Linked DNA regions of Drosophila melanogaster. The protein of the gene in region 1 purifies or fractionates together with the protein of each later gene. This does not show direct contact. Each region holds a gene or a part of one and is shown in the gene's direction. Other genes may lie near its edges.

What was found.
Region 2: the proteins of Hr51 (region 1) and Eip75B purify together in Drosophila melanogaster (affinity purification with western blotting, with the first as the bait; one study listed by BioGRID). This does not show direct contact.

What each region holds. Positions count from the first base shown.
Region 1 is NT_033778.4:15,329,210-15,334,425, forward strand, and holds the start of Hr51 (hormone receptor 51), read left to right. Parts: upstream 1-2,115; 5' UTR 2,116-2,391; coding exon 2,392-2,437; intron 2,438-4,367; coding exon 4,368-4,758; intron 4,759-5,216.
Region 2 is NT_037436.4:18,061,357-18,066,524, reverse strand, and holds the start of Eip75B (Ecdysone-induced protein 75B), read left to right. Parts: upstream 1-1,828; 5' UTR 1,829-2,014; intron 2,015-5,071; exon of another isoform or gene 5,072-5,168. UniProt on the Drosophila melanogaster protein: Implicated in the regulation of ecdysone-triggered gene hierarchies. Probably plays a key role in mediating the regulation of the larval molt by 20-OH-ecdysone.

The sequences.
Region 1 (5,216 bases):
TCTCCAGTGGGTGGCACTCGCAGAGATTTGTCGGTGTGGGTGAGTGTACGAGTATTCGTGTATGTATCCTGGCGATGCGAAATGTCGCCGTTCAAATGTCAAGAACCAACCCCGTCGTCTCTGCTCGTCCTGCTCGCACGATGTCATTGCTCTCGCTCACACCGACGGGCATCCTGCGTGCACGTCTGTTACAGGATAACGTCGCTCTGTCTCTCTGTATTTCTATCTCGCTCTCGTTCGCTCCTCCCTCGACGTGGTGGGCGTGGCCATGCTGGCAAAGCGCTTTGACTTTTGCATTTGTTCACTTTTGTCCCGAGCATAAACTTCTGCCAGCCGCAGCTGCTCTCTAGCTTTCTCCCCCGCGAAGAGAGCGAGATTGCAGAAAGGAGCGGTGAAAGGAGCAAGGGAGGGAGCTGCGGGGAGGGGCTGTGGCTTGCCAGGATCCTGACTGTTGTATTCCGACATCTCATTTGTTACAAAGTTAATGTCGGCGCATTAAGCATGGCAAAAGCCCCACAACAAAATCGGGGAGCACAACGGAGCCCCCATGCCGCCCGTTTTGGTCCTGCGAGCAGCATTTATCGATTATTGGATTAGTGGACCCGGGACCACCTCTAGCTCTGGCTCTCTTATCCATAAAATTATAATGTATAGAGAGTAAATAAAAATGTGTATGCATAAATAAGACTACGTAGACCATTAGATAGAACATCTTTACACATTACATTAAGTTTGACATTATAAATATTTTAAGGTTATACTTTTTAAAATATAAAAACCCACTTCTGAGCATATATATTCTGTCTTCAGCATATTTTCTCGAACAGTTCACAAACTTGAATGACTGGTTCTATGAGGCTTCTTAAAATTCGTTAAAACTTAATTTAATACAAGCCTTGGTTCTTACTTTAATTTCTTGTACAAATAATAATCTAAATATCTATATCTAAATATATAAATATATAATTGTTGCAATAAAATCAGGAAGGTAAATGAAACATGATTGTGATATTAAAGTTAAATAAAATCACCCATCAAATTAGAAAAATATTTAAAAACAAACAAATTATAATATTAGGATAATATATGTATATTATAATATATATATAATTTAAAACTCTTTTGGTTATATGTGCACTTAAATATTCTTGATTTAGATCCAAGTACACCCACAGACACCAGCAGAAACATTTTCTTCTTCAATTCAATTACAGTTTACTGGGTGGCGGCAATTTCTGGGTGGAAGTTGGGGCTTTTAGGGGGCGGTTAGAATACGAGGCCAAGAGTGACGTCGTTGGCAGAGGGTCAAGAGGGGGGCCAAACTGTTAGCGAAAGGATCGAGGGGCAGGACGACGCAAGCTCGAAAGCGCCGACATCACAAAGGGTATTATAAAACAAAAACAAAATGTCAAAACCCAAGACGATTATACGAGCGCCAGCCGCGCAGCTGCGTCATTCGTTTCATGGTTGTATTGGTGGGGCGCCACCATTGCTCTGCTCCACTTCCGCTCTCCCGCCCACTTCCGTTTCCGCTCCCCGCCGTCGCTCAGCTTTTTTGAGTCATGATGGCGACCGGGCGTTCTCTGCTCTTTCGAGTGCCTTGGTATGTGTGCTTGTGTGTGTGCGCAGAGAGCGCAGAGCCGGGTGTTTATTGGAGATTGCGATTGCGGCTTGGCTTACCCACACTCGCAGGGCCGCACACCAACACACTAACACTAACAGCGAGGACAAGCTCCTGCCGCAGCATCAAGAAGGAACGAATCAAAGCAAGCCAACAAGCAAATGCGCCACCAGAGTTGCCACTAAAAGTCTCCGTTGGTGGGTGGGTGGTGTGCGGTTATCCTTCGCTCGCTGCTCCTTGCTCGCTGCTCGATGCTCTCTGCTCTTCCTGCTCCTATGTGTGTGTGTGTGCAGTGTATGCCGTGCTTTTTGTCCTCACACACACACGCGCGCGGCAAGGACTTCTCTGCCCACTCAGCGACCGCGGATTATATCCTGCGATATGGTTTTTTCCCCCTAGTCCGGGGTTGGCCCGTTGGCTGGTTGGCCGACTGCTGGAGTGGACACATCAGTGTTTAGCTCCTGTCACGCTTTTATGATAAATCTGAAATCCGGAATCTGAAATCGTACATCGAGACGTTAACATCATCATCGCGGCACACTCGCAGCGCCGTCGGATCGGATTGGTTCGGTTTCATCAGCGGGAATCAGAGGACCGTCCACTTGCCGTCGCCTCTCCACGATTGCAAATTAATATGGAGCCTACTGCGATGAACCCGAAAAGTGCCATTTAAAAGTGGTGTTTTAGAAATTCTTACAAATAGTGTCAATTGTTAATAAACTTTTCAACGAGGTGTGATCTTTAATCGCAGTCCGCCAAAGCTCAACAAAATGAATAAGGAAGAAAATTCCTCCGAAACACGACCATCTTCTCAAGGTAAATTAGTGTGTTAATAAAAACATGAGTATGGTGATGAAATATATTTATTAAGCTGTAAACACAAAGGTGTGGTTTCCTTACTTAAATACATAAAAAAATAAATATACAAGATGGCCCTAATGGTGGCTAAAAATTCCTTTACCAACAAATTTTAAAAAGGACAATATCACGTTTGTTGGGAAATTGTGCGTGAAATATAATTACGTTTCTTACACCCACGATTAATTAGGACGGATAAGATAGGAAAATAAAAAAAGTGATATGTTAAAGAAAAAAACGGAAAGGATGTGAAAGCAAAGATTACAAAAAACGACTGGCATCGTAATATAAATTAAATTTAAGCTTTTTCATTCTAATTACCCGACGGAAAAAATTGTTTCAAATGTGAGTTGTAATTAGTGCCGAAATAATAATGTTATATCGAAAACTAACACACATTTTAAGGATTGAGTTCCTAGCAAAAAAAAAACTTTAACAATTCATTTTATGATATTCAGATATGACTCCTTTTTTAAGCGAATTCTTATACGTCAATTATAAGTTTAGCGATTTGAATAGAAAATCTATTTTATAGCTGTGTGACCAATTTAAATATAATGTTAAGAAGTATAACTTTTTATATGTTGAAATGACTGGATCAATTGTAAAATGCCCAGACTAAAACATGAAAAGAAACAAGCGGATTCTGATCGCTCTGCTCGGAAATCACATTGGCAATTTTAATTACCAATTTGCAGGAACCAGTTGTCTGCGGAGACACTCAAATCAAATCGATGCCCAACTTGCTGATGGCATGCACGAATGGCCAGGCAAATTCAATTTGCGATAATCACCAAATTGAATTAGACTCCGAGTCAGGCCGCCAAAAATGTCAGAAATTCATAACACAGCCATCCCGGCGCCCTTAACACTTTTGTGTGCGCCAAAGTGAATTTCAACGAGCCCATAAAATTAACAAAGATGCCCCGGTGCCCCGGAAAATGCAAGCATATGACGCTAATCCTCCGGCTTTGGACCGCAGTCCTGCCAGTTGGTCCCGGCTGAATGGCCGCCTGACTTTGTCTTTCCATTCCAATGCCAAGCAGGAGCAAAACCCAAACCCAAACGCAAACCAGAACCACGAACCCAAATGGTCGAGCGCACAGCCAAGTGGCGAGTGTTACAAATGTGTCCTCAGCCTCGTCCTTGGAACGTCGAGGGTTAAGTGCATCAAAAAATCAGTAAGGAAACTACAATCAAATTAGGGTGTGATGGCAAAACAATCGTCCCCCGAGGCAAATTTGGCGCACAGATTGCTCGGCACGCTCTGGTCGAGAGCCGTTTGGCTTAATGGCACCCTAATTGAATGTGTAAATATATTTGCGGATTACAGGGCGTCAATGTCGCCACGCAGGGATAAGATCGGCAGGTCCTTTGCATCCGCAATCCGGTACAACTGACAAATTGGGATTTAATTTATATGAACTGCATAAGTGATTTTTTATTGCACCACCCATTACCACCGGGAAAACTGGTCTTAAGTCTGGTCGAAAATTTTAAATGTCTTATGCTGGAACGAGATTAATCATTTAATATGCCGATGAAAAGAATAGCTAAAGGACAATCATTACGCGTTAAGTTTAAAAATGTTAAGCTACAGTGCGGAAATTGTATAGAATTATACATTACATTTCTACATTCTGCTAGTATTAGCTAAACATTATGTATACTATTTTTCCCGTTTTATAAACAATTTTGAATATTTATTAATATTTAAACGCCAACTAAGCTTTAACCACTTGCACAATTCGTTGATTTTAAGATCTATATACGAGCTAATAAACCCAACTGTATGATCTTAATAAAGCCGTAGTAACTTCCCAGATAACAAAAAGATACAATTTCGATTCTCTTAGATACCATTCACTAATCTGCTTCATAACTTTAGAACTCCACAGTCCGCAGCGGCATTGCTACACTCCGCCGCCGGCGCCGATGCACGGACAGGCGCCTCCACCTACATCAACGGGCGTGGCCCCGCCCACACAGCCACCGCCCCCTCATCCCGCCGCCCCAAACGTGCCCAATGGTCGATTGCTGAGCTGGAATCACAGTGCCGCTGCAGCTGCTGCGGCGGCGGCAGCCCAAGCGGCAGCCAACTCCATGAACCACTCGTCGGCGGCGGAGGGTTCATCGATGACCCGGATTAAGGGTCAGAACCTGGGCCTCATCTGCGTGGTGTGCGGCGACACCAGCTCGGGAAAGCACTACGGAATCCTAGCCTGCAATGGCTGCTCCGGATTCTTCAAACGCAGCGTGCGGCGGAAACTCATTTATCGGTGAGTGCACACAGAAAGATATTTTGCGGACCTCAAATTAGAAATAAAAACTATAAATAACAAAAAGGACTTCCTTAACACGTCATATAGAGAGTAAAGTAATTATGCCATATAGGCATAAAGAGTAATTTAAACCATTAATACATATATTGATACTCCCCTGCAAACACTCCCATTTTGTGAATTTTAAATGTGTGGTGCCAGTTTTATTTCAGTGTAGCCCTAACTATGCTCCCAAATCCAGTCATTACCATTTCATTTCCATTAAATGTTGCAACATTTGCCCAAAAGTGGGTGGTGCCGGGATGGGTGTGGGCCGCTGTGCCCGGAGGCTCGTCTGGCGGATTACGGAGCTCCGGCAAATTCATTACAATTATTCAAATCTTTGGGATTTGAGCGTCAACTTTTGAATGCGCATATTTGCCCTCGCGTTGACTTTGTGCCCAGAATGGCATCAT
Region 2 (5,168 bases), on another chromosome or scaffold:
TCAGATTGGGTTGACGGGGGCATCCTCTTAAAAGGACCAAGGGTGGCGTCTGGTTGCCCCTGCCACGTGTCGCCAGTTGCAAATTTCACGACGCTGTCATTGACCATGGTATTTGACCACTATTGTATTAGGGCTGCCAGGGCCAGTGTCTCAATGCAACGCCCTCGTTGCATTTGGAGGTCCTCAAGGAGACAGATTCGGTTCCAAAATGCCCCAGAAGACTGAACCTGAATTGGCAAATGTCTGCAGTGGTATTTGCAAGGTTAAATTACATTTGCTATAGTTTATTTGTACAGTCGTTAAAACTTAAAATAATAAGCATCGATATTCCATAAAATAAAATAGTCAATATGCAATTTCAGAGTTTCTATTAAAAAATTATAATAGTGTAGTCACGGGGGGTTTTCTTGAAACGCTGTCCGGGAACAGTGATGATAAGTTCTTGAAAGTTAATCCCGTCTTGTCAACAACAATGGCAAATAAGAAAATCAAGGTTACAAGATGCTGTTCCCTTCAAACCTATCCCACAGCGTGAAAGACAATGAAAGCCAGATCCATAAGAGTGCAACCCCCGATGCTGGCTAAAATCGAAGCTCATAAAGGAAGTATCTCTGCCTGGGACCGACCTTACCAAACAAAAAGTAGCCCATCGAGTGTCTAGGAAACCGCTTGTCCTCTTACTCCTTTCTCGCCTTTTCTGCTTCGCGGCCCTTTGATACCCACTCGCTTTCCACACCCCAAGTCCAAGAGTCTGAAGTTTGCTTTCATTTCGTTGCCCGAGGGGTTGCAACTCCAGACAGACAGGGACCGACAACCAGGATCAGAAAACCCGAGAAATCCACCCACTCGCCGACTTTTTGCAATTATTTTTAATTTCTGTGCTACGACAACTCCCGGAATGCCAAAACTTTGCAACCCCAAAAGAAGCACGCAAAAGGGGCAAGTCACTCCAGGCGGGAACCACGATATGTACTACTGTACACGTCAGAAACATGGAAATAAGCTTGGAAAGCCCGGTACAGGGCAACTTGAAATGTTGCGATATCGAGATCATTAATTTGGCCTGTCTAGTTGGATAATGATTATTTTATTATTTCTTTTTATTGATAGTTCATCATTTAATGAGTTCCTAAAAATTTTAATATAGGTTGGTAGGGATTTTTATTTTTTTCCAAGCTAGTAGTAAAATATATTTGGGTTATTAAAGGATGAAATCAACACACACCTTCCATATGTTCCACATGAAAACATCAGCAAATTTCTAAAAAATTCTTTCTAATTTAGCTAAACCAAAAAAAAATTAACATAATGCTCTAAAGAACTTGTTTAGTTGTTTAATTGTTTAAATAATTTTTCAAGTTTCAAGATTTCAGATTTCTTAAACTGAAAAATTAGCATGATTTCGATTTCTTTCTAGCGGGCATCCACTGTGGCGACGTACACGTCCGCGCCTGAGTTCCATGTTCGGCGTCCATTGCACCCCCAATCTGCTTTGTACATTGACTTCTCTGCTCCGCTTTGTTCTCTGCATTCGCTGCAGGTTCTGGCTCTGTCGGCCTTCCGCTCTGCTCTTTCTCTCTATCACTCTCTGTAATGGTGATGGTGCTCTCCCTTTTCTCTCTCTGTAGCCACTGTGCATTCCCATACCACGACCTACCTTACCCACACCCACAGTGCGCTGCCGCTGCACAACTCCCGCCCAGGCAGCGCAGTCGGCGTCGACGGCGACAGCGCAGTTCGTTTTCATATTGAAAGTAGAATTTTTCACTTTTGCGAAAATTTGCAGTCCAGTCTCGGTCTGGTCTCAGTCATTTTGAATACGTCATGTGGAACGCACCGTCACCGTCGCGTTCCGTCCTCTGTCGCGCTTTTCCTCTTCTGCGCAATCGTCTTACCAATCGGCGGTTAACTTTCGTTTGTTAGCACCAGAATTCGATCGGGACAAATAGCAATCCTCTGAATGCAGATACAAAAAGTATCTGCGTGATGCGTCCGAATAAGTGGTGAACTCTTTGTACGTGAATTGGATTAAGGCAGAGTTGTGTGAGTTTTGTGTGCCAATTCGATGCTATATAAATATCACAAGTAACAAGGGAAGCACAAGGACAGTCTTTTCAATCACAATCAGAATAGTGCAAACAATTGCCAAAGTTTAAAATTTTAAGCTGTGACAATATTAAATACAGAAATATCTATAAAAAAATATGGTGTAACATATTATTGTGTGCAAGTTAACACTCGTCGTCATTGAAAATAATTCAACTAACAGAAATCCTTTATATATAGGATTTGTGAAACTGATCTATCTTTAAATAGAAAACTTATGCTTAAACTCATGAACCATTCAACAAAATTCACTTAACTGCGCATAACTGAACGATGTTAAGCATATACATATGTATAAGCATTATGTGACTCATGAAAGCATAAAAAACGGTCAAATAATATCAAGAACGAAAAATGTGCATAGAAATGCTCTCAAATTGTTTTAAAATAATAAACGAAGCAAAAAGTAAAAATATAAAATTTGAAATAGTTGAACAAAGGTTTGCGAAGTACTTAACAGTTCATACAATCGAAAGCCTAAAAGTTAAAAGTAAATTAAAAGCAGGTTGCTAAACTAAACAGAACAATACGAAAACCGACAAACATAAGATAGAAAAGTGATCATTTTATATTGCACAAAACCATGTATAAGGGTCGCATGACCTTTAACTCTCGGATATCAGGCGTAACTAAGTCCTCAATTAGATGGTTAAATTTATTGACCAAAAAAAACGAACTCGAAAGCACTTATCCTTCCTGCTGAATAAGCTCCTTTTTTGGACCCATTCCCCGGCTGTCTGACTCATTCCACTCGGATGAAACTCCGTCTGGAGTTGCAACCCTCATTAGAGGCGAGCCACACCCCCTGCAAACAGAACGCAGCCCCACCACCCAACGCCCCCTGGCAACTCCGCTGAAATGCAGAGACCCCAAGAAAACAGAGGAGGAAAGCTAACAGGGGATCTGCAGCCCGTTAACAGAGCGCTGCTTGCTCAACTGTAGACGCCCTGTTAGACTCGCCTTGGTGTGGGTGAACTTGAACACACATACACTCACGTGCTCTATTTCTCTCGGCGCTCTCTTTTTATTTGCACTGCTCTCTTGCTCGATTTATTCTATTTCAAGTTCTTATTTTGCAATGCAAGTGTGTGCGATGTCGTTCAGTGTTAAGGTCAATACATTGCCGCCTCGTGCTGTGGTGTGCGTTTTTGATTGTAGTCTGTGTGTGGGCTTGCACTTGAAGAAAATGTGTAATCAAAGTATAATTTTTTATTTAACCGTAACGTTGATTTTCACTTAAATTTACTGTGGCTAACAACATAGATTTAATTATTATTACTAACCAATTTTTTTTAAATTAAATAAGATGTTTGAAATCAATTAAACACAACTATGTATGTGATTGCAAAATATTCGAATAAAAGCATCATTTTATTAAAAGTTTTATTAAAATAAATTGTTATATTTTAAAAGCCTGTTCAACATATACACTCTGTCAAATGGTTGCAGCTCGTGAGGTTGCATTTTGTTTGTTGATTACGCTGCTATTGAATGTTGTCATGCACACGCGAGTGCACACACTTGCACGCCGAGTGTCATCGCCTTTGCTCGTTTGCAAATAGCGGTTTATTCGGCGCCTAGCGTTTGTATCTCCGTACATTTTTCTGGAGGTCTCCCCCACTGACGTTTGCGGAAACTTCCGCTATATGGCCGCCATCGAATAGACAGGGAATTGTGGGGCATGAGGCATCATCTCATGGCGCTTGGAAAAAATATGCATTTGTTTCGCCAATGCCAGATGATTGCTCTGATTTCGTGTTATAGACAGGTGAAAGTAAGCGATGTTGATAATACTTCTTATTAAGTATTAAACTTTTGATGCTTAGTGATAATGAAAATGATAAATTTATTAAATTAAAGTTATCTGTAACAAGACTAAAGTAGAACAGCCTTTGTTTTTATAAATTTATGTTCAGATAAAATGTTTGTAGTCACTTTTTACAGGATGAACATTCAAAAACTTTCAACAAAACATAAAAGGCCAAGCCCCAACCCAAACTAATTTAATTTTATGCGCAATATTCCCTTTTTTGGCAATACAGCTCCATTCATCAATTACGAGCAGACCCCGAACCTACCTCAATGCGTAACCCTGCCCTTACCCAGAGAAAATAACCCAGTGTAGCCCAGACCAACCGAAAAGCGCAACCCCACGAAAATCTCTCCACACGCACATTACTCATACGCACTGAAACACGGAAGTTGAGTCCCGTCAAGTGAAACCCCAAATGGGAAGCGAGCAACCCCCGAATAATCAACCCTTAGCCACAAAAAACTCCAAAAACTCCCCCTTGAAACTGCCCCAGTCCAAATTTTGTTAACCCCCATCGCAAAAAAAAAGTTTAGAAAAATCCGTGTGCGTTCTTCTCTTTTGGCTGGCTCATTCGCGTTTATTTTTGTTTATTTATGTTTTGCTTTTCGTATTCTTCACCTCAGCTTCCTCGTACGCAGTCGCTCTCTCTCTCCGAGCCTCTCGCTTTCGAATTCTTCCCATCTTTGCAGTCGGATTCTCTCATTTTTCATACGGTTTTCACTTTCATTGTGCAGCTTTTTGCGCGAGAACCGACTCGCTTTTTTGTCGCTCTTTTCTGGTTCTGTTCTGGCTTTCAGAGCTTTTGCTGTTTCAGTCAGAGAAAGTACGGCCAACGCAACGGTTGCGAATATATTCCAACCTGTCGCGATTCTAGCAAATAAACAAAGCCCCACTGGCCGAGCAGAGAGTGAAAATATAAGGAAAAAATATATTGAAAAATATTATAATAAATATACATATAGTGTCAATAAATCGGGGAAATGTGCAATAATTATGGGAGCTCGCCAAGGTCCCTTATATAAGCGATAGCCCATTGTCAAGGGCGCCAAGTGTTTTCCACATTGAGCCGTGGCCGTGGCCGTAACCGTGTCCGTGTATCGTGCTCGTATCGTATCCGTAGCGCCTCGTGAGCGTCCTTGTCCTTGTGCAGGCCGAACAGCTGCTTGGGTCCTATCCTGTCCTGTTCCGCCCCCTTCGGCCGCGACCTCGTCTTCGTCCTTGTTCTTGAACCGCAGTCCTCCAAAAATAT